Arabidopsis thaliana: one gene and its partners. The protein of the gene in region 4 interacts with the protein of the main gene of each other region in a pairwise test. Each region holds a gene or a part of one and is shown on either strand. Other genes may lie near its edges.

The links.
Region 1: the proteins of AP1 (region 4) and DBP1 interact in a two-hybrid assay, tested with the Arabidopsis thaliana proteins (one large-scale study listed by BioGRID).
Region 2: the proteins of AP1 (region 4) and AGL97 interact in a two-hybrid assay, tested with the Arabidopsis thaliana proteins (one large-scale study listed by BioGRID).
Region 3: the proteins of AP1 (region 4) and HB-7 interact in a two-hybrid assay, tested with the Arabidopsis thaliana proteins (one large-scale study listed by BioGRID).

What each region holds. Positions count from the first base shown.
Region 1 is NC_003071.7:10,902,216-10,907,638, reverse strand, and holds DBP1 (DNA-binding protein phosphatase 1), read left to right. Parts: upstream 1-2,371; 5' UTR 2,372-2,660; coding exon 2,661-2,843; intron 2,844-3,059; coding exon 3,060-3,266; intron 3,267-3,377; coding exon 3,378-3,589; intron 3,590-3,908; coding exon 3,909-4,485; 3' UTR 4,486-4,644; exon of another isoform or gene 4,645-4,762; 3' UTR 4,763-4,923; downstream 4,924-5,423. Other genes in the region: AT2G25625 (histone deacetylase-like protein), read right to left, coding at 540-897, 977-1,077; AT2G25610 (ATPase, F0/V0 complex, subunit C protein), read left to right, coding at 4,998-5,266, 5,354-5,423.
Region 2 is NC_003070.9:17,231,167-17,235,028, forward strand, and holds AGL97 (AGAMOUS-like 97), read right to left. Parts: upstream 1,786-3,862; 5' UTR 1,770-1,785; coding exon 969-1,769; downstream 1-968. UniProt on the Arabidopsis thaliana protein: Putative transcription factor.
Region 3 is NC_003071.7:19,164,648-19,169,380, reverse strand, and holds HB-7 (homeobox 7), read left to right. Parts: upstream 1-2,413; 5' UTR 2,414-2,607; coding exon 2,608-2,967; intron 2,968-3,187; coding exon 3,188-3,604; 3' UTR 3,605-4,107; downstream 4,108-4,733. Other genes in the region: AT2G46670 (CCT motif family protein), read left to right, coding at 4,148-4,600, 4,694-4,733. UniProt on the Arabidopsis thaliana protein: Probable transcription activator that may act as growth regulators in response to water deficit.
Region 4 is NC_003070.9:25,981,688-25,988,717, forward strand, and holds AP1 (K-box region and MADS-box transcription factor family protein), read right to left. Parts: upstream 4,663-7,030; 5' UTR 4,416-4,662; coding exon 4,231-4,415; intron 3,251-4,230; exon of another isoform or gene 3,065-3,250; intron 2,889-3,064; coding exon 2,810-2,888; intron 2,710-2,809; coding exon 2,645-2,709; intron 2,552-2,644; coding exon 2,452-2,551; intron 2,221-2,451; coding exon 2,179-2,220; intron 2,093-2,178; coding exon 2,051-2,092; intron 1,572-2,050; coding exon 1,417-1,571; intron 1,249-1,416; coding exon of another isoform or gene 1,212-1,248; exon of another isoform or gene 992-1,211; coding exon 889-991; 3' UTR 607-888; downstream 1-606. UniProt on the Arabidopsis thaliana protein: Transcription factor that promotes early floral meristem identity in synergy with LEAFY. Is required subsequently for the transition of an inflorescence meristem into a floral meristem. Is indispensable for normal development of sepals and petals in flowers.

The DNA of each region.
Region 1 (5,423 bases), on a different chromosome or scaffold from region 4:
GTAGAGTTGTAGTTAAACTTTGAAATACGAGGCCGAAATCAAACTAATCGTTGGAGTGACATAGAGTTGGGCTTCACTTTGGATCGATAATAGGCCAACTCATTTCAGTAGGAAGTACTTGGAGTGTTTTTCTTTTGTACTACACGCATGTACTACTTTTCTTTCATTTCACATCCAATAGAGTACTACTTTAACACACAAAGCTGAAAACTCCCAAAATTTGGTAGGATACAAGATTACAAAACAAAGAAAAAAAGGACGGACCAAAACTAATCGTGCACATAAAGATCTCAATGAATTTAATGAGTTAATTATTTTTATACGGTTCGATTTAAACCAAAAATCAAAAATGGCATCCTCAAAGAAAATTTTGCATGAATTAAAGACCAGTTTGGTTCAATGTTTTGTCATCAGTAACTACACAAACAAATACTTAAAATTTAATATATCTACAATAGTTTTTGTGTGTATTATTTGTTTCTAATTGACTTTTTTTACACCTGCCTAACAATCTCCCTTACACGTAATGAACTTCCAATTTACACGGAGAAACAACCACCCCTGTTGACACGTGTCATCACCACACCGACCGGCGGTGCATCACCCTTAGCTAATCCGGCTAACTCCAAACGTCGATGAGCAGACGGACGAGGAAGATTCTCCGGTACGATGGTCTCTAGCGAGTTCTCAAGCCAAGGCGGACACGTCCTCTTGTCACTCCACCTCCGCGGCGGCACCACACCCGCAGCCATCTCTTCTACCGGCGATTTCACAACCGCAGCTTCCACTGATGCAACATCATTGATCTGAATCCCGCCGATTACGACAGTTGCCGCCACCCCCAAGACAAAAGAACACTTGTTTTTCCGTGGCTCTGTCTCATTTTCTGTTCTCCTACTAAACAATAAAAGAACAAAGATCATTGATATGAAAAATTATCAGGTAAATAATAACTTTTCATGAATAGAAGAGATACCAAGAGATCTTTGACGTTGTCTTGAGCAGTGAAGCTAATGATTGTGCAGAATTTGAATCTAGGGGAGGAAGATTTAGACAGCAGCTTATTCTCCCTGCCATTGTTATTCCTCTGTTTTCGTTTCCTTCTTTTTCTTAAGAATCCACCTAGAACAAATTTTATTTTATTCCTTTCACCTCCAACATATATATAACTACTAACCCATTCTTACTTGGGTCACTCATTTTTTCTTACTATATATGTATCCTCAAATTATTACATTTCATATGCGCATGCAATACAAACCACATCTAAATTTTTCTTCCAATATGTTCTTTCTCTATACTTAACTAAAGCCCAAAGAATGAACTTAACCTAGAAAAGATGGACTTGACCCAATAGCATTGGTCCGTTGGAGATGTTAGGTCCATACTCCATACAAAGACAAATTGAACAAAAGTCGTGAATCTGTTTGCTACGTCTGAATAACAACGTACACGTATCACGCCTTGCGAACAAATTATTTGACAATGATGGCCAATTAGCATGTGTCATCACTTGTTACCACGTCAACAAGGTTCTTGTCGGTCCGTTTAATTAATAGTAACCATCGTTTTCAGGAAAAAAATCCACATAAAAAGTTTCTAATGGCGAAACAATATTCAAATATTTCCTAACAACTACCATGAGACTGATTCTTTTTCTCTTCCGAAAAATTAATGAGACTGAGTCCTAATTTTTCTTATAGTTAATTTGGTGACCATCAAAGAATGTAAAAGTATTTAGGAAACAGCACAAATAATCTGGCAATTACGGTCTACAACATGTTTATTTACTTATTTTTAAATTATAGAAAAATTTAATATTTTAATATCTTATATTTAATGCCCTAAATAACACTAAATCACACATATAAATAGCAGAGATATAAATATAGAAAAACATTCCAAGCATTTTTCAGTACTTAACATTTATACAGAAAAACAATTAAACATTTTTCAGCACTTAATAATTAACATATGTGAGAAATTCATAAACTCTATTAAATATTCATGAAAATAATGTATTTTTAATTTTATAAGTAATATCTCATGTGTCGACTTTTTTTATATAAAAAAGATGTAAAAAAGGTCCCAAGTTACTAAAATTCAATTTTGTCAACTTAACTCAAAATCTTTTTGCTATTAGTCTAAAATTTCAGATTTCCTTTCTTGCTATTTTTCAAAATACTATGTTTACTTCTCATATAAACTGTAAATATATCCCTTTTTTAATAAGAAAAAAAATCTCTCACTTCAAAAACAAAAAGGAAAAAAAAAAGCAAAGAGAAAAAGTAAATAATACGCCGACGTTTCGTGTTTATGTTAAGCTTCCTTTTTCCTTTTTCCTTTTTCTTTTTGCCTTTTAAATAACCGTCGGACTCATATTTCTCGCCTCCGCCGGCGAACAGTTTTATTATCTCTCTCTTTCTGCGTGTTCCAATTTCTTCCACAAAACCCTAATTTTCTCTTAAACCCTGAAATTCGTGTAACCTTTCAACAATCTCTTCAATTTTGTTTTCGATTCTGAATCCATTGTTTACGAATCTCTCATCTAAAGCTACATTCTTCGTTAAATCGTTTTTAATCGACTCGCTCACTCGTGAGTTGACTCGTCAGCTGTTTCCATAATTGCTTATTGAATTTTTATACGATGATGTTTCAATATGGAAGAAACTAGAGGAATTTCTGATCCAGAGAATGGGAGTTCGAGTTACGGCGGTAAACCGCCGAATCCACTCTCCTTCTCTTCTTCCTCCGCCGCTGCTGCCGTTTACAGGCAAACCTTCGACGGCGAGCGATCGTTGGCGCCGTGTAATAAGAGGTCACTGGTTCGACACTCATCTCTCGTAAGATTCGTTTCTCTTCAACTTGATTTGTGGATCAGTTAGGTTTATTTTGTGTATTGAATGATCAATTTAAGTTGAGGTTTTGTAATTATTGCTCTGCTTTTGGATTTGATCATTATTGGTTTCCTAATGTGTATAATTAAGGTAGAAAGTTTCTGTTTTTAATGTGTCATTATGAGATGTTTGAGGTTTTCTGATTGATTTTCATTTTGGTAGGTGAAGACAATGGTGTCAGATATATCTGTTGAGAATGAGTTTACTATAGAGAAGAACAAGTCTGAGTTTGTTCCTGCTACGCGTTCTGGAGCTTGGTCTGATATTGGCTCCAGGTCAAGCATGGAAGATGCTTATCTATGCGTTGATAATTTCATGGATAGCTTTGGCCTTCTGAATTCTGAGGCTGGTCCAAGTGCCTTCTATGGGGTATGTTCTTTCTTCAGTTTTCCTGATTTTTTGTAGATTTGTAGCATAAGCAAACAACTGTGAATGTAGTGAAAATATGGGGATCTCTTATTGAATTTTGTTTGTTATTAGGTATTTGATGGACATGGTGGGAAGCATGCCGCTGAGTTTGCATGTCACCATATACCGAGGTACATTGTTGAAGATCAAGAGTTTCCTAGTGAAATCAATAAGGTGTTATCTTCAGCATTTCTTCAAACAGACACTGCCTTCTTAGAGGCGTGTTCATTGGATGGGAGCCTTGCTTCAGGAACTACTGCTTTGGCAGCTATTCTTTTTGGAAGGTTTGTTGATTCAACTCTTATTATCTTTTAGTTTTGTCTAACCTAAACTCTTACATCTTGGTTATGTTAAAGAAAAACGTGTTTGGGAATAGATGCTTATCCTCAACTGCGTAGTGTGCATAATCTTGACCTTTAACACAATCATGTACAACTAATTCGCCTGTAGATGTATTCTCTGCCCATATGTGCTGCTGCTATAATGTAGTTATTGTCTCATATGGTCTTTGAGTCACGTATATACTTGCTCATTTCATACTCTATTAGTATTCTGGTATGAAACCGTTTGGTACCGTGTTAACATATAGTTTTGTGGTAACAGGTCGTTGGTGGTAGCAAACGCTGGAGATTGCAGAGCAGTCTTATCCCGTCAGGGAAAAGCCATTGAAATGTCAAGAGACCACAAACCCATGAGCAGTAAGGAAAGGAGACGCATTGAAGCATCGGGTGGACATGTATTCGATGGCTATCTAAATGGACAACTTAATGTGGCTCGAGCGCTAGGTGACTTTCATATGGAAGGCATGAAGAAGAAGAAAGATGGTTCTGATTGTGGACCTCTAATTGCAGAGCCTGAGCTCATGACAACAAAACTAACAGAAGAGGATGAGTTCCTTATAATTGGGTGTGACGGGGTTTGGGATGTGTTCATGAGCCAGAATGCTGTAGATTTTGCCAGAAGGAGACTACAGGAGCACAATGACCCGGTCATGTGTAGTAAGGAGCTGGTTGAGGAAGCTTTGAAGAGGAAGAGTGCTGATAATGTGACGGCAGTGGTTGTGTGTCTTCAGCCACAGCCACCACCGAACTTGGTAGCGCCGAGGTTGAGAGTTCACAGAAGCTTCTCGGCGGAGGGTTTAAAAGATTTACAGAGCTACTTGGATGGCTTGGGAAACTAATTGGGGGACATGAGGATGGTGACGAATGATTGATTTCTCTGTTTTTGTTTTGTCTTTTCTTACAATTTTATAGTTTGGGGTTTGGAGGTTTTGTTCTGTTAAATTCTCGCAATTTGAGTAAGTTATAACATGAGGCGGCATACAATAATTTATTGTTTGGTAGGATATATTTTTTTGTCACTTTTGCATAATAATAATTCTGCTTCAGTCTCATTTGTTTTGTAACTAGAAAGTTATTCCAATTCCTGCGTTTACCGAATATGTTGTGTTCTTGCAGAATGACGTATGTTAGATATGCAGTAAACTCGAGGGTCGGCTTTGACCACATCGCCACTTATCGGTTTGCGGATGCTGGAAAAGTCAGTCTAGTGATGAGGCTGAGTGAGCCATCGTCAGTTACTATTTTATCGTGAAACTCTGAACAACGAGATTGTCCCGGATATTCAAATGAGGAACAAGGCCCAATAGTCCGATCAAAGTGGGCTATTCGTATCGCTTACGAGGCCTATACGATGGTAATTGAATTCACGCGCATTCATCAGCGCGTGATTTGGAGTTGCTCAATTTCAGATCGCACAGGCTCTGTTAATCATCTCCTCCTCCGAAAGACAGAGAAAGAGACAAATCAAATTCATTCATATCAAAGAGATAGAGAGAAAATGTCCGGTGTGGCTATTCATGCGAGTTCATGGGGCGCGGCTCTGGTGAGAATCTCCCCGTACACTTTCTCCGCCATCGGAATCGCCATCTCCATCGGCGTCTCTGTTCTTGGTGCTGCCTGGTATAAATCCTTTTCTTCTTCTCCCCATTGATTTGCGAAATCATCATGCTTACGAAAACTATTTTGCTCTCTCTCTTTATGGTTTAGGGGAATTTACATTACCGGAAGTAGTTTGATCGGTGCCGCCATTGAAGCTCCTCGAATCACTTCCAAGAAT
Region 2 (3,862 bases), 8.8 Mb from region 4:
ATCTTCGCTTGGTTTAACTGTTTTGATATTGACAAGAAAAATGAAAATTAGCAAGTAAAATAAATTAATAATGGTAGAGCATGAACAACTAACTCAAGTATGTATACTTACAATGTCATGCTCGGAAGCACCGCTAGGATTCTTGTTTTCAATCTGGTTACACATCCTCTTAGCTTGGAGACAGCAGAAAGAATCGTTGTCATTCGAGTTTGTAAAGATCTTTTTGGTCTTGGTTGACTATGAAAGATCTCAGATTTTGCAATTGTGGCTGGACCAACACGTTTATGGAGTAAGAAAGTGTTACATGATATTATAACTACTTGTATCATAATGCATAATATGACATAGAGGATGAACGTGATTTTGATGCAAGTATTGAAGAAAGAGCCGAGGTCCCAACTCTAGAAGATGAAACGGCGGGAGACGATCGATGATGGTCGATTTCAAGAATTTTTAGCTCGACACAGGAAAATCAAAGACCGTGAAGCTCATATTAAACTTCGAAATGCATTAATTGAACACTTGTGGTCCGTATATACTAATTCTGAGAATTAGTACAATGTAATTTTTTTTTGTTATTTTCAATTTATCGATTGTAATCTTATATTAATTAAGTTAAAATAATTTAGTTATGAAATATGTTATGTATATCAAACTATTAAAAAAATAAAGAAAATCTTAAGTTTAATAATATTATAATAAAAAGTAATATTTTTAGTGTGAAATTGGTGTTATGGTTGGAGATGATAAAACAATTGAAACACCAAAATATCAAATTTGGTGTTAAAATTTGGTGTATTGTGGTTGGGGATGCTCTTATGTTTTGGTTAGATATACGAAAATATCACGCAGATCAAATAAAGTCATAAGCTGATAAAAGACATACAAAGATATACTAAACCGAAGCAATACTTAAATCAAGGATCCAATTTCAACATAAACACAAATTGTCACCATAGAGGCATGCATCAGACATCATCCATCTTTAAATTCATGGATAAAGCTTCAGAGCTTGTCAAATACTCAATGATTTGATCGAGATCATCAAAATCTTCATTGCACTCATCCAAGTTTCCAAGTAAACCGTTGTTGTTGCTATTGTCAGAAACCGCTAGGGTTTGCTCTTCCGTGTTCCCTTCAGAATTCACAGTTACATCATCCATCTCCAAATTCACCGATAAAAATTCAGAGTTTGTCACCGTATCGAAGATTTGATCGAGATCATCAAAATCTTCATTGCACTCATCCAAGTTTCCAAGTAAACCGTTGTTGTTACTATTGTCAGAAACCGCTAGGGTTTGCTCTTCCGTGTTAAACCCATCGAAATTCACAGTTACATAATCTTGAATGCAAACCCTTGCAGAACACGGCTGATGAATTAGGGTTTGCGTTTGATGATCTCTTTGCTTCTCCAACTCCTTGAGATCTCGCAACATAGTCGACATTGAATCCATCGCCTCTCTCAACTCCTCCAGATTCTCTGATTTTAGAAGACTCTCATCTTCCCACCAAAACCTTTCATCACAAGGACGCTGATTGGCGAGAAAAGCAGCGACGACATTATCAACAGAGGAGTGGCCAAAACTGTAGAAAGCGGCGTTGGAATTAGAAGAAACAGGAGTCGCTATGATCGCAATCTCTGCGTCCGAGAGAAGACAAAGTTCAGAAGCTTTGCTATACAGACCCTTACGACGTTTGGAGAATGAAACCGCTCGTGGATTTTTGTTCTGTATCTTCTCTATAGCAATCTTCCTCTTCACGCCACCCATTCTGTTTTTTTTCTCAGTTTCACAAACAAAAGAGAACGAGACAAGACTTGAGAGTTTTGTGTGCTGCCGCTTGTTGCGAAAGAAGAATATGATAATGGACTCACTCTCGTTCTAATCAGATAGATATATATATAGACTTAGTAGCCCTAACTCGTTTTCTAATTAATCCATGTTATTTCCTTTTTCTGATAATTGCTAATCAGTAATTAAACGACTAAATAAACTTGTTTTCCTTTTTTGAAAGTAATTAGTACACAAAACCACCTGAAACAACATCGATTTTGATTTCCTTTTTTACTGATAATACCCTAATCGGTAATTAAACGAAAAATTAAAACTGTTTCCTTTTCTAAAAGTAAATTACTCAAAACCATCTAATACAAACAAAGACCGGTTTAGTTAAACCGAATCTGTATTTAGTGGAATTTTTGGTTTAGTCGGTGAATTTGTTTACTACTGATTGTCTAATAAGCGAAGGAGGACGAGTAAACCAACATGCAAATTCTTCCTTTAACCGGTTTGGTCAACGGTCAATAAAATAAGACCGTTATGAAGGGTAAAAGCGTCAATACAACAAAATATTTAGGAGCCTCTCTTCTTCTCTTTGTGACCGTTACGAATCCAAAAACCAAAATTGCAAACTTTGTGAGGAAGAAGAAGACGACACAGTATTGAAGAATACAATCTCAAACCCTAGTATGGAATCTCTGTTTTATGCTGGTGAATCAATGTCCGATACACAACAAAAACTCAAGCTTTTGGTTGATAATGGTGAATTGGTGATTACGGATTCGGAAGAGGATCTAGATATGGAGATTACGAGAATCTGTTGGAATTGAGTATCCTAAACTAAATCCTACAAGAATAACAAGCTTGGTGAGAAGAAGAAGATGAAGAACAAAGGAAGAAGCAACGGAAGAAGAAGACGATGGCGGAGAAGAGACGTCGTGAAGAGAGGAGTCAAAGGAAGAGAAGAAAGTCAACAAACCAAATGGGTTTGTGTTTTGTGTGTTGGGTCATAGGTAATGAGATAAGGCCCATACGAATAAGTGTTTTGTACAAGTTGTCTAGTTAAGGTCCAACAAGAAGAGGTTGTGACAACTAAAGTAAACTAAGAGAGTGAATTAAGGTGTTGGAGTTCCAACATAGTAGAGTGGATGATGTAAGTCTTAGGACAATGATGTGGTCTAGAGTCTAAGTGTGTGTAGTCTACCAAGTGGAGCAAAACCACTATATGTATGTGTTGTTTGTGTTGTGTAAGAGTATCCAAGAATATTATCAAAGTAGAAGATTAAAAGAAAATAGTTTTTGTTCTTTCTCTCTAAAGACAATGAAACCGTAAAGGAGTGTGAGAAATAGAGAGATTGTGAGAATTACAACAGAATCAAAGATTCGTATGGAAGATTCTGAAAGAAGAACAAGTGAGATTTGGAAGAAGAAATCAGGGTTTTGCTGGAGAAGAATCTTGTATCAATTAGAAACATATAAGTACTGATTCTTCTGTGATCAAAACATGGCTACAGGTTTGTTGAAGACTTCTTCTGTGACATCCTCAGCATTGAAGACTTGTTTAAGAAACTTGATTTTTGAGAAGTTAAAAGGTAGAGACTTCTTGAAGAAACAAGCTCACAGCCATAAATATTCTGGCAAAATCCACATTGTTCATCTTTGTTATTAAGCATTATGTTTTCTTCTCTGTGGCCTTTGTGGATCCTTCTAAGAGACTACATTATTGAGATTTCCAGAGCTACTTTTGTTTTGTAGGTTTAATATTCTGATGTATACATATATGACATTGTGTTGTAATTCTCACATATCTAACCACTTTAGTTAGATCTCTTGCTCTCTTGTCTCTCACACAGATTTTATTCTTTGTTCTAGAGAGACACAAAAGCGTTTTCCTCCAAAGACTACATTGTTAATTACTTGGTTACTCTTACACAACACAAGGACACACATACATAAACTACTTCTACTTGAGACACACACACACTTGCACACTTGCACTTAGACCTAATGATGGCTCTTACACAAGACCTACTTCTACATACATTGGAACTCTCACTCCTTGATTCACTCTTCTACTCTAACTT
Region 3 (4,733 bases), on a different chromosome or scaffold from region 4:
AAAAAGTCTTCTTGTCTGATAAAGTCACTACTATAAATTACTTTTTCTATCGTTAAAAACCAAATTACTGTGTTTGATTCTCATGTATCATAAATTGATTAGAGATGCAGTAACGGTAATAATCTAAAAAGCAGGACAAAACTTAATTCATTCGTTAAAGAAAATAAAATAAAAATAATAAATTCATTCGTTAATAAAATAGATCTTCGTTTGAATATTACGATGGTATGAAAACAAAGAAAAACTTTGTGAACGTGACACCATACTGATAATCTAACATAAAAAGTCCTAATTAATTGTAAATATATCAAAAAATTAATGTCACACGCGGCAAGTCGAGGAGCTTGCAAATACAAACAAGCCAAGCCATCGTTTATTTAGTAATAAATTAAAATTATACTTTTTAAAAAAAGAAATGAAGAATTTGTCTTCTCCTACGGCTCTTCTCAGAAATTGCGATATACTAGTTAACCACGACACGTGTGTACTTTGCTGGGCCAAAATATTCAGGCACCACCACAGATCAACTGCCATGTCATCTCTTCTATCAACTTTGATGTCCCAAAGCATTGAACTCTCATCTCTGATTATAACACTTGGCTAGTTTTCGATGGCTGATTTTGATACTTTTTGATTGCCACTTTCTGATAAGTTCAATAAGACTTTAGAAATTGATCTCTTACGTTAAATTTTAGTTGGTACTTCTTTTTGGTTTAATTTTAGTTGATACTTGATAGATATAATTTCGAATTATGTTTTTTTTTACAAATATCAGATTTAATTATTAAAAAAAGAATATTAGGGTTTGAAAATATCTTATCTAGATGGCCCAATTTAATATTTTTGCTTGTATTAATTAGTCAAAAGAAATTTCCGACAAGCAAGGTGAACGTAAACCTTAAACTAATCAGGAAAGCAAGAATTAAAGTTGCTTTTCACATTAATACTAATATTGTTAAATTGTTATCGCTATCGTGAAGAAAATAAAGTCTAGGGAATCTGCCTCAAATATGGTTTCCCTGTTGGCAAAAATTTAACTTGCTTCCATTCAAATGATGAAATGTTACGAAAAATTAGCCTTTTGTCTTTGGAGTAATGTTTGTTAAATAATCACGAGGCATTCATTCTTAAAATACCATAACATTTATAGAGGTTTGAAGTACCATAATTTGTAAAACTAAACTAGAGAAATTTTGCGAAATCAGTTGTATGAAGACTTTCTTAAAAATAACGTTATATAGACTCTAGAAAAAAACTATTATATGCCATTTCTATTTAGTTTTTTTTTCTAAAAATATATATAAATATGGTGTTGTTAACATAAAAACAGAAAAAAAGAAAAATTTAGAAAATTTTCTCAAGAATCATTATATCTGTGATTTATCATATAAGTTCAAATATGATATTAGAAACAAATAGTTTACGAGTATAATAGTATTGTCAATTTTTCAATCTGAAGTAAATATCTTTTTGTAAGGAAGGGGTCAACAAATGATCACAACAGAGTTGGCAAAAAGTTATCAAATCGCATGCACGGAAGTTTTACGTGTGGTGAAGGTAAACTTGTATTACACTTATCTATAAAAATTAGTTTAGGCTTTGATTCTAAATCAAATCTCCGATTAGAAAAAATTGCGTAAGCAAATAGCTGGAAAAAATTGTATCCCATCATACTTAAGTCACAATGTTTTGTTTTTGAGATTTGTGATGTAATCAATATATGTTTTACAATGCAAGTATAATAATATTAAAGTCACATTCTAAGAAAATTATGATTTGTGTCATACGTATACAAAAACACCCGTCACACATCCTGACTTCTGAACGTTAAATCTGTCGCACACAATCATAAAAATTTAAAAATTCACCAGAGATGTACTGAAAAGAATATAATTAATCACATGATGATATATGCATAGGAGATGAGGATTATTCATTTTCTGAAATTCCCTATATGAACCATTATAATTGTTTAGTAATCAGTTCAGAAATGCTAATCATTATATGAACCATTATAATTCCCTTCATTTTTATTTAAGATCCACTTAACAGGATTTGTTAATATGCACCCACATCACTAAATACATTGGTACGCAACCGTTGTTCCATTTCCATTTTCACATCGACCAGAATGTTTACTATGCGGTAAATTGTGTAGTATGCAGATTTTTTTGTATCATTTAATTTTCTAACACTTGTTAAGTCGAAACTAATTTTGTCACAAGTAAAAGAAATAAAAAAGGTGGAAATTATTAATCAGTAGTTAGATGATTAGTTTCGAGTTGAAATGAAACTCGACTTAACAAGTGATAGCGACGACTCTAGAAACAGCCAAAATCCGCCCTATTGCTACCTGTCGACCCACAAATCGTTTACTCAAAAATGAATAAAAAATTTACGATAAAGCAAACCCAAAGTTATATCTTATTATATGCTAAGGAGCCCTCCCAAAAAAGAACAACAAATCACATTTTTATATAACTGTTAACATAATAATCTCAGCCTCATCAACACACATATATAGATAGCCAACATCACACAAACATAGAGATTCCAAAAAATAAAAATAAAGAAAACATAAATCCTCTGAGGAAAAATTCCGATGAGATGACAGAAGGTGGAGAATATTCTCCGGCGATGATGTCAGCAGAGCCATTCTTGACCATGAAGAAGATGAAGAAGAGCAACCACAACAAGAACAATCAGAGAAGGTTTAGCGACGAGCAGATCAAGTCACTGGAGATGATGTTTGAGTCTGAGACAAGGCTTGAGCCAAGGAAGAAGGTTCAATTAGCTAGAGAGCTAGGGTTGCAGCCGAGGCAAGTGGCTATATGGTTTCAGAACAAGAGGGCTCGTTGGAAATCCAAGCAGCTCGAGACTGAGTACAACATTCTCAGACAAAACTACGACAACTTGGCTTCTCAGTTCGAGTCCTTAAAGAAAGAAAAACAAGCTTTAGTCTCTGAGGTATGTTCTAAACTCTGTTTATTCTTACATGGTTAGTTAAAATCTGTGTATTTTGTGGTTGTATACTGAAAAACTGTGGTTTTAAATATGTGATAAAATATGTGCTTTAGTGGTTATATTGCAATTAAGGACTGATTAGGTGATCAAGAAAAACTCTGTTTTGATGGTTTATTGAAGGAGAGAATAGATTGTTGATGAGTTGTTTTATACCTTTATGTAGTTGCAGAGGCTAAAAGAGGCGACGCAAAAGAAGACACAGGAGGAGGAAAGGCAGTGTAGTGGAGATCAAGCGGTGGTTGCTCTAAGCAGCACACATCATGAATCAGAAAACGAAGAGAACCGGAGGCGTAAACCGGAAGAGGTTAGACCGGAGATGGAGATGAAAGATGATAAGGGTCATCATGGGGTTATGTGTGATCATCATGATTATGAAGATGATGATAATGGTTATAGTAACAACATCAAGAGAGAGTATTTTGGTGGGTTTGAGGAAGAACCAGATCACTTAATGAACATTGTTGAACCAGCTGATAGTTGTTTGACATCATCTGATGATTGGAGAGGTTTCAAATCAGATACTACTACTCTCTTGGACCAATCCAGCAACAATTACCCTTGGCGGGATTTTTGGTCATGAAAACAATAAACTCTAAACAAGAAGATGAAACAGATTGAGACTAAAGATTGGATATATACATATTCAAATCGAAATTTACCGGTCTACATCGCATGAACCGAGCCACGGATATAGAGATATTCGGTCCAGCAAATGACTCGTTTCTCAGCGAGAATTTTGCAGGATTTTGAGCTGAAATTGTATGGTTTTGTCTGTATAAATGATGTGTTTAGAAAGACGTATATTCTCAGTTCGTGTTTGTAATTCTGTTTTTAAGTAGTAAGTACTCGTCATGCTTTGTAGCTAAGTAGTAAGTTTAAGACTAAATTTGGATGAATAAAAATCAAAAGCAGGAGAAATCATATATATAAAGTGTTATGCATTAATATGTAAAAGATCAAGAAGAGAACTAAGTTGGTGAGAAGAAACTGATATTAGGAACACGAAAAGAACCATGAAACCCAAGTTAACATCTTCTTGACTCGGAAGATTTAAGGAGAAACTTTGTTTTTTTCTCAACAAAAGCAGAGTATCAAAACAGAGTCAGTCAATTCGCAAATTCTTATGTATTTAACTTGCAGATTTGAGGAAAGCAAGTCAGCAGAAAAAGCCGTCGTTGCTTTAGAGGAGAGTACTTCAGGTGAGCCAAAGACACCAACCGAATCACATGAAAAGTTGAGAAAAGTAAGATCTGATCAAGGAAGCTCCACAACGAGCAGCAACCAGGAGAATATCGGATCATCAAGCGTAAGCTTCCGTAACCAAGTTCTTCAGTCCACAGTAACGAATCAGAAGCAAGATTCACCCATACCGGTAGAATCAAATCGCGAGAAAGCAGCTAGCAAGGAAGTAGAAGCTGGTTCTCAAAGCACCAATGAGGGGATTGCTGGACAAAGCAGTAGCACAGAGAAACCAAAGGAAGAAGAAAGTGCGAAACAACGTTGGAGTAGAAGCCAGAGAGAAGCTGCATTGATGAAGTTCCGGTTGAAGAGGAAAGATCGATGCTTTGACAAAAAGGTAAGAGACACACAAGCTTCATCATAAAAACAGCATCTGAAACAAATACAAGATCAAACTGATTCAATGGAGATGTATAAAAATGGATTACAGGTTCGGTACCAGAGCAGGAAGAAGCTAGCAGAACAACGTC
Region 4 (7,030 bases):
AATCCTCTATCCAAAGAAGGAAACTTCTTCAAGAACCAAAAAATATAAAGTTGTAGTAACTGAAACATGAAGACCAAACAATATAATTACCAAAATGTTTAATACAGAAATTGTTTTCTAAAAAAATTAGCAGGAATACAACGAAGAGAAGATAATGTGAGAGTTACGCTTACCACAACGTGCCTTTTCTTGAGTTTAGCAACATTTTACTGAATGTAGATGAAGAGAAGATAATGTGAGAGTTACGCTTACCACAACGTGCCTTTCTGGTGGTGATATATCTTAAGAACCTTAGTGGGCATTTTCACTGGTCCCTTTACTGTAAGTCTCGTGTCCTTAGCTCCATGAAACAAGTCAATACACACTAATTATTCGATCACTAATCAAACAAATGTATCAGAGAGACTACCAGGGTGTTACATTACAGATCCTCATCCATTCGGAGGCACTGTTATTATTGCCTATCTTATCTAATTAGAAGCAAATTCTGGGCCTTTATAGGCCAACATCCTTCCTTGATTCTAATTGGGTTCTATTCCGATTAATACGGCCCAACCACTCAAGTTCGCTTGTTGTAAACTTGAAATAATAAGAAATTTTGCCACTCCTAACTTAATGCAACAAAAAAAAAAAAAGGTCCGATCTATTAAGTTCACGTTCATTCTCTCTGACCTTCAAATATATTACAATTTTGCTCCATATTGAAGCAAATAAACTTATCAAATTACAAAAGAAGAAAGGAGCCTGCTAATTTATATATGATGATATAAGAACATCGAACATTTGCCAAAATATATTAATTGGATGAAAAGAGCCTAGCCACTATTTATATGTATGTGGCAAACTGTTTTTATTGTTGACGATTACAAATATATATATGGAAATGCTTCATGCGGCGAAGCAGCCAAGGTTGCAGTTGTAAACGGGTTCAAGAGTCAGTTCGAGATCATTCCTCCTCATTGCCATAGGATCATCTTCTTGATACAGACCACTGCATTCACAATCATACATAGGATATATATGAAAGTGCATATGTAATCATATGTTTCACCGTACAACAAAGGAAAATCAAATATCAGTCCATTGTGAAATGTCAAAGATATATTAATTTCATTTATCTAACAAACTAAAATTGTACTTAAACACATAGACCAACAACAACAAAAAGTCGACTTAGGCTTTTCGCAACCATTCCATGTACATTTTCCACACTAATAAGTTTGTTCGTTTGGCGACCATTGCATTAACCTACGTTAATAAAATAATGTTTTAAAATAAAGTTTTCTAGTTTCAAAATCATGACATCATGTAACCATCACTAACAGCTATAACTTCAATGAAATTACAACACCTAACGTAACTAGCTTGCATAACATATGTGCTTTAAATTAAGACTGATTAGTAATTTTTTGTTACCCCATGTTGAGAAAAGGAGATGGCTGATGAGAGAGCATGTAAGGATGCTGGATTTGGTGCTGCTGCGGTGGCAGAGGGGGAGGCATATTGTGGCCTTGGTTCTGCTGATCCCACTGCTCCTGTTGAGCCCTAAGAATTTTTTCCCTCTCCTTGATCTGCCAGCAAATTTATTTCAAACCATATTATCATCATCAATTTTCAAAGTGAAGAAACTATATATATGCAATGGTTACAAATAGTTATTTTCACAGTTGCACTCATGCAATGAACTATTATAACATTTTTATAATTAGGAGTAGTGTCTATATTCATATACATAGATATGAGCTAAGTAGAATGATGGGACAACATTTCAAAGTTTCAAATATTTTCAATCCGAGAGACAACCTTAAAACTAAACGGACAAACCATATCTACGTACAGGCTGGTGATTATATCAATCAATAGACAACATCTATGCTATTTCAAACAATTTGCAAAGATTTTCTATTTTTATTTAATGGTGCCGAAGTTAAGTGGAGATATGAAGATATCGTAGGTATAGCTTGGCTGGAAGTGTGGAGCAGAACAGTGGAAGGTAACAGTAATGCAATGGACAACATGTTGATGAAAGAGAAATGATGACATGTGTTACCTGTTTAGAAAGCATGCTGTTTTGCTCCTGTATGGCCTTCTCCTGTCATTTCCGAAACGGCACGATTGTTAATTAGCTTTCCTATACGTTTCTCTATAAGACATACATTTGATAGGGGTTTTACATACCTTTTTTTGGAGCTCATTGATGGACTCGTACATAAGTTGGTTCTGCATACACACACATCAACATTAACAACCCATTACTTTAAGTAATATGAGTCTTAAAATACACAACATAACTCATACATTCGAACCAACCTATAGACATATCAAATTGATATTGATTACTGATATATATATTGATACATACACATATGTATTTCAATGTTCACATTATAATAACACTTGTAAACGTTTAAGTTATATAGATATGTTCAACGAAATAGCAGAAGGCAATACTTTTCTAGTGCGGATGTGCTTAAGAGCAGTGTCAAGCTGCTGCTCCAGATTCTGAAGCTCTTTAGGGCTCATTGCTTGCAAGTCTTCCCCAAGATAATGCCTGAATTTCAATAGCATCAATGAATTTTAACTTACTTTAAAATGGAACCCGATCGATTTCCTAGATAGAAATGTGATGAGTGTAAATGTGTACCTCTGGTTTCTCTCCAAAAGCTCAATCTTAGCCTTAAGCCTGTTATACTCCATCGACCAGTTTGTCTGTGTACCAGAAGTTTTATACAAATAAAATTCATCAATACTACAAATAGATTGATATAATATATATGTGGATTAAAAGGAGAAATATTTATTGAAATACATTGACGTCGGACTCAGGTGCAATAAGCTGTCTTTCGGCGTAAGAGTACCTCTCATAGCGTTCAAGTATCTTCTCCATACTGATCATTTCACAGAATTAGGGTTAGCTTTATCATCAACCAATTATCATTTTATTATATAAATAATATGGAGATGTAACCAAAATATCATCACATTTTAGGATAAATCTAATGATGGTTTTATGCAATTAAACCAAGATTTCCTATAACAAATCAAGTACCGATCTCTATGATACCTTTATAATAACAAAACAGTATGAATCATAGACCCTATGCTCTTAGCTTCGAGTTCTAACTGCGGTTTCTTTAATTTTGCTACAATTAGGTACAGAAAATCTTCTTAGATGCGACACATTATAATAAATTATTATAATCTTGCCAATTTACCAATCTTATTTTTTTTCAGAACAAGGACAATGCTTAAAAAAAAAAAGAAAAAAAAAAAAAGAAGAACAGCTGTTGCTTGTTGGAGCTAAGTTTGACCATCGGTAAGAAGCCGATTTTAGGATGGAGTTAATTCTTTTTATGGATCCCCAGAGGTCAAAGACTCCCTACTCAGATTTGACATCTTTGTTTCAGTTTTAATTTCTAAAGTCAAATAGAAAAAGAAGCAACACTAGTTCAAATTTAATACTATATAGTGTTTTATATTACGAGTTCATAATCTTAAGATCCGAGTTTAAACATTTTCTTTGCTTAGATTTGCAAAACATGAAGACACAGTCGTGAGAACAAATTAGATATTCTTTTACAGCTGAAAAAAAACAACTCGTAAGTTAAATATTCTTTCTAATAAAAAATTCTCAATTTGACATTATTATCTATATCTATTTTAATTTATTTTCTCGTCCCATAATATTTTTTAATTATAATCCAGTTGCAACTTATATATGAAAAAAGAAACGACACTTCATTTAAAACTCGAACTCAGTGAGCGAGTGAAAACTACAGATCTTATTTTCTTACTATGGCATCAATTAGAGCTTAGATCTGCAAATTCGAAAGACATGGCTATTGGAGAACAAAAGAATTCATTATGAGTTAGGGATCAAAACCCTAGTTCAAAGATTAAACATACACCCTTCTATATGCTCTTGAGTTTGAAGATATGATGCTGATAAATATTGCACAATATATCAAGGTAATTACTATGGTATAATTAGTGTGTTCTAGGGTTCACTTCACTACGGCCCTAAAGTTTTGATTTTTAAATTATACAAATTTGTATTAAACATTTTTCTGGCTAATCAAAAAATCCAAAAATGGAAGCCCTAGAAAATATATAAACAAAAGCAGTAGTGAATAATTAGGGCAAATCAAGTAGTCAACTTAAGGGGGAAAAAACTATATAAAGTAGCAGATTAAAAGATTTTTTTAAAAGTAAAGAATTAGTTGAAGTTACCAAGAATCAGTGGAGTATTCGAAGAGTTTTCCCTTATGGGAGAAGACAACAAGAGCAACTTCAGCATCACAGAGAACAGAGATCTCATGAGCTTTCTTCAAAAGACCAGCTCTTCTTTTCGAGAATGTCACTTGTCTATTGATCTTGTTCTCTATCCTCTTCAATTGAACCCTACCCCTTCCCATTTTTGATCCTTTTTTAAGAAACTTCTTACTCTAAAAGAACCAAACAAAACAAAGACCCCCAATAAGAAACTACAAGAGAGATATAAAGAAGAGCTCAGACTTTGGTATGAACCAATTAGGAAAGTTTTTCTTTCTTTCCTTTATAAAAAGACTTGTGTTTGAGTCTCGGGATCTTTATTTATGGAGAGATTTGGGTAAGAGTGGTTTTAGGGAAAAGCTAAAGCTGGTTTCTCTTGTTTGCAAAAACCACAGTGGTTTCTTTAGGATTTGCGTGTCGACTTCTCATTGGTATATCTCGTACTAATGTCGGGTCCATGATTTTTTAATAAAACTGCGGACTTAAAAATATGAAAATAAACAATTTGATTATCGACGTCTCGTGAAGAGAAATGGGTAAGTAACATTGTACGGACCACTGGTCCTTCCCCAAGTGTCACCTTCGCTTTGCATTGACGGCGGAGATTTCCCTGTAGATCTACGAAACAAAATCTGAACCAACCAAAATATCTATTTTTAATTTCCTTTTATTAACATTTCTCTATTACCCTATTTTACACTATTCTTTTGGAATAAGGTGAGAACCCTTTGTTTTATCAAATTTGCTTATTATATTTAATGTTCTCAGCTGTAACAGTGAAGTACAAATAGACCTTTCTTTTGGCAATAGATGTTTTTGGTAGAGCTGAGAACCAATTGACAACTGTGTAATGTATTGCGTCGACGGATTTGTACGCAGGATTTAAGGAAAGAGAGGAAGATCGAGAAGAATAATTGTAAGTATTCAAAATTTCAAACCCAAAAATAGTATTTTGTCAAAGATTTGTTCAATGTTGTGTGTTCTTATTAAGTTGTAGATGATCAGGACAAAAATCAGTTGAATATGTGCTATGTTGTTAATCAAACATACATATATTTTTTTTCGTCAATCAAACATATTTAGTTTGTACGTTATATCCATATATATTGTTAAATAAAACAACCATATATATACAATTTGATGTCAATCATATAATGAAATAAACCACATAAAAACCTTTGCTCAATTTGCTTAATCACTTCTTTTACAATGAATTTCCGTTGTAATAGTTTTCTCTTTTGAGATCTTCAAGTGTGAAAAAACCCCTTATTTTCAGTCAATATCCAATAACAAAAAAAAAAAAAACAGATTCGGCATTTGCTTAAGGCATATATTGCATAAGCCTTAGAGAAAACAATATAATTAAGTGAAAGTTGGACCACGTTTCAAATTTCTTTGTTAGTCAAGTGTTCCTGTTTTAGTTGATTACTTTAAATATCTCAGGTTTGAGGACTAATTGATTTTTCTTGTTAAAAAATTTCTTTCTGTTTTTTCCATTTCTTCTCTTATTTGGTGTTTTCCACGTGTCTTCTTCCTTATTTGATTTACTTTGTAATTTATAAATATTTGGACATCTTTTAGCAACTATTGCTTACGGTATTATTGTTTCATCAAAACAACAATTATACTAATTTTAGAAAAATAAATTAGACCATGTAAAAAGAAAAAATTGTAATATAGTAAAATCTATTTAAGTTAAAGTTCATTTTTAGTTATATATTTCTTCTATGCCAAATGAACCTATGCTAAAAAGATGTCACTTGCATTTTAATCCAACTTTATGTATTTTCTTCATAGAAGTTATATTAAATCTGGTATGGTATGACATATATACTTGAAATGGTCGTGGTTATATAACCAAATTTAAACATGTACGTCCTGAGTTTTGAAACGATACATAAGTTAAAAGATAGTGTATAGAGAAATCAGTCTAAAGATAGTATACTATATATATGTATGATATGTATATGGAGATCATGAGCAAAAGTAGTAAGCAACAAAAGGAAAAGTAGAAACTTAACAAATTGAGCAAAACTAAAAGAATCTAAGCTCGTGGCCTTGAAGACAACATCCCAAGAATATCCATTATCTTCGCCTTTGTTACATCTCCACCCTTCTTTTCTTCCCATTAAATATCCCTTTTTACTCTCTTTCAGTTTATTATTCGATGTAGCATACATATTTTATATACAATATCTCGATCCACTAAGATACGGTTACATCTCCACCATTAGCTTCCAAATACTAAAATAATTAATTACTTCTAATTAGAAGGACGTAATCTCTATCTTCAGTAGTAAACCAAATGTTCGTCATCATACGAAGTGGATTTAGAACATATAGTCGTTTTTGAAGCAGATCCCAAGAATAGTCTTCGATCGGTCGAGGTGCCCAAGTAGAAAAAAAGAAGGCAGGAAGGTTTGTTTAATGAGTGATCTTTGTAGTCACGAGAGTTGTGACTTGTGAGGTTGCTTTGTATCACGGTGATGCAATTATTATTATTTTATGTTTTTAAATAAGTGAATTATAGGTAAGTTTTTTTAATTCGAATATTAACATATTGGTTTAATTAAAACTCAACATTCGAATGGCAAATAAATAAAAACTGAACATATGATCTACAAATTATCATAAATTAAGGAGAATAGTGAGTCTTTAGTGAATAATTAAATTTCCAAGCAGTTTTAAATAAATGAAATTAAAGAGAGAGGTTCTATAATTGATTTCTTCTAATTAATTAGAAGATCGGATTTTTTTT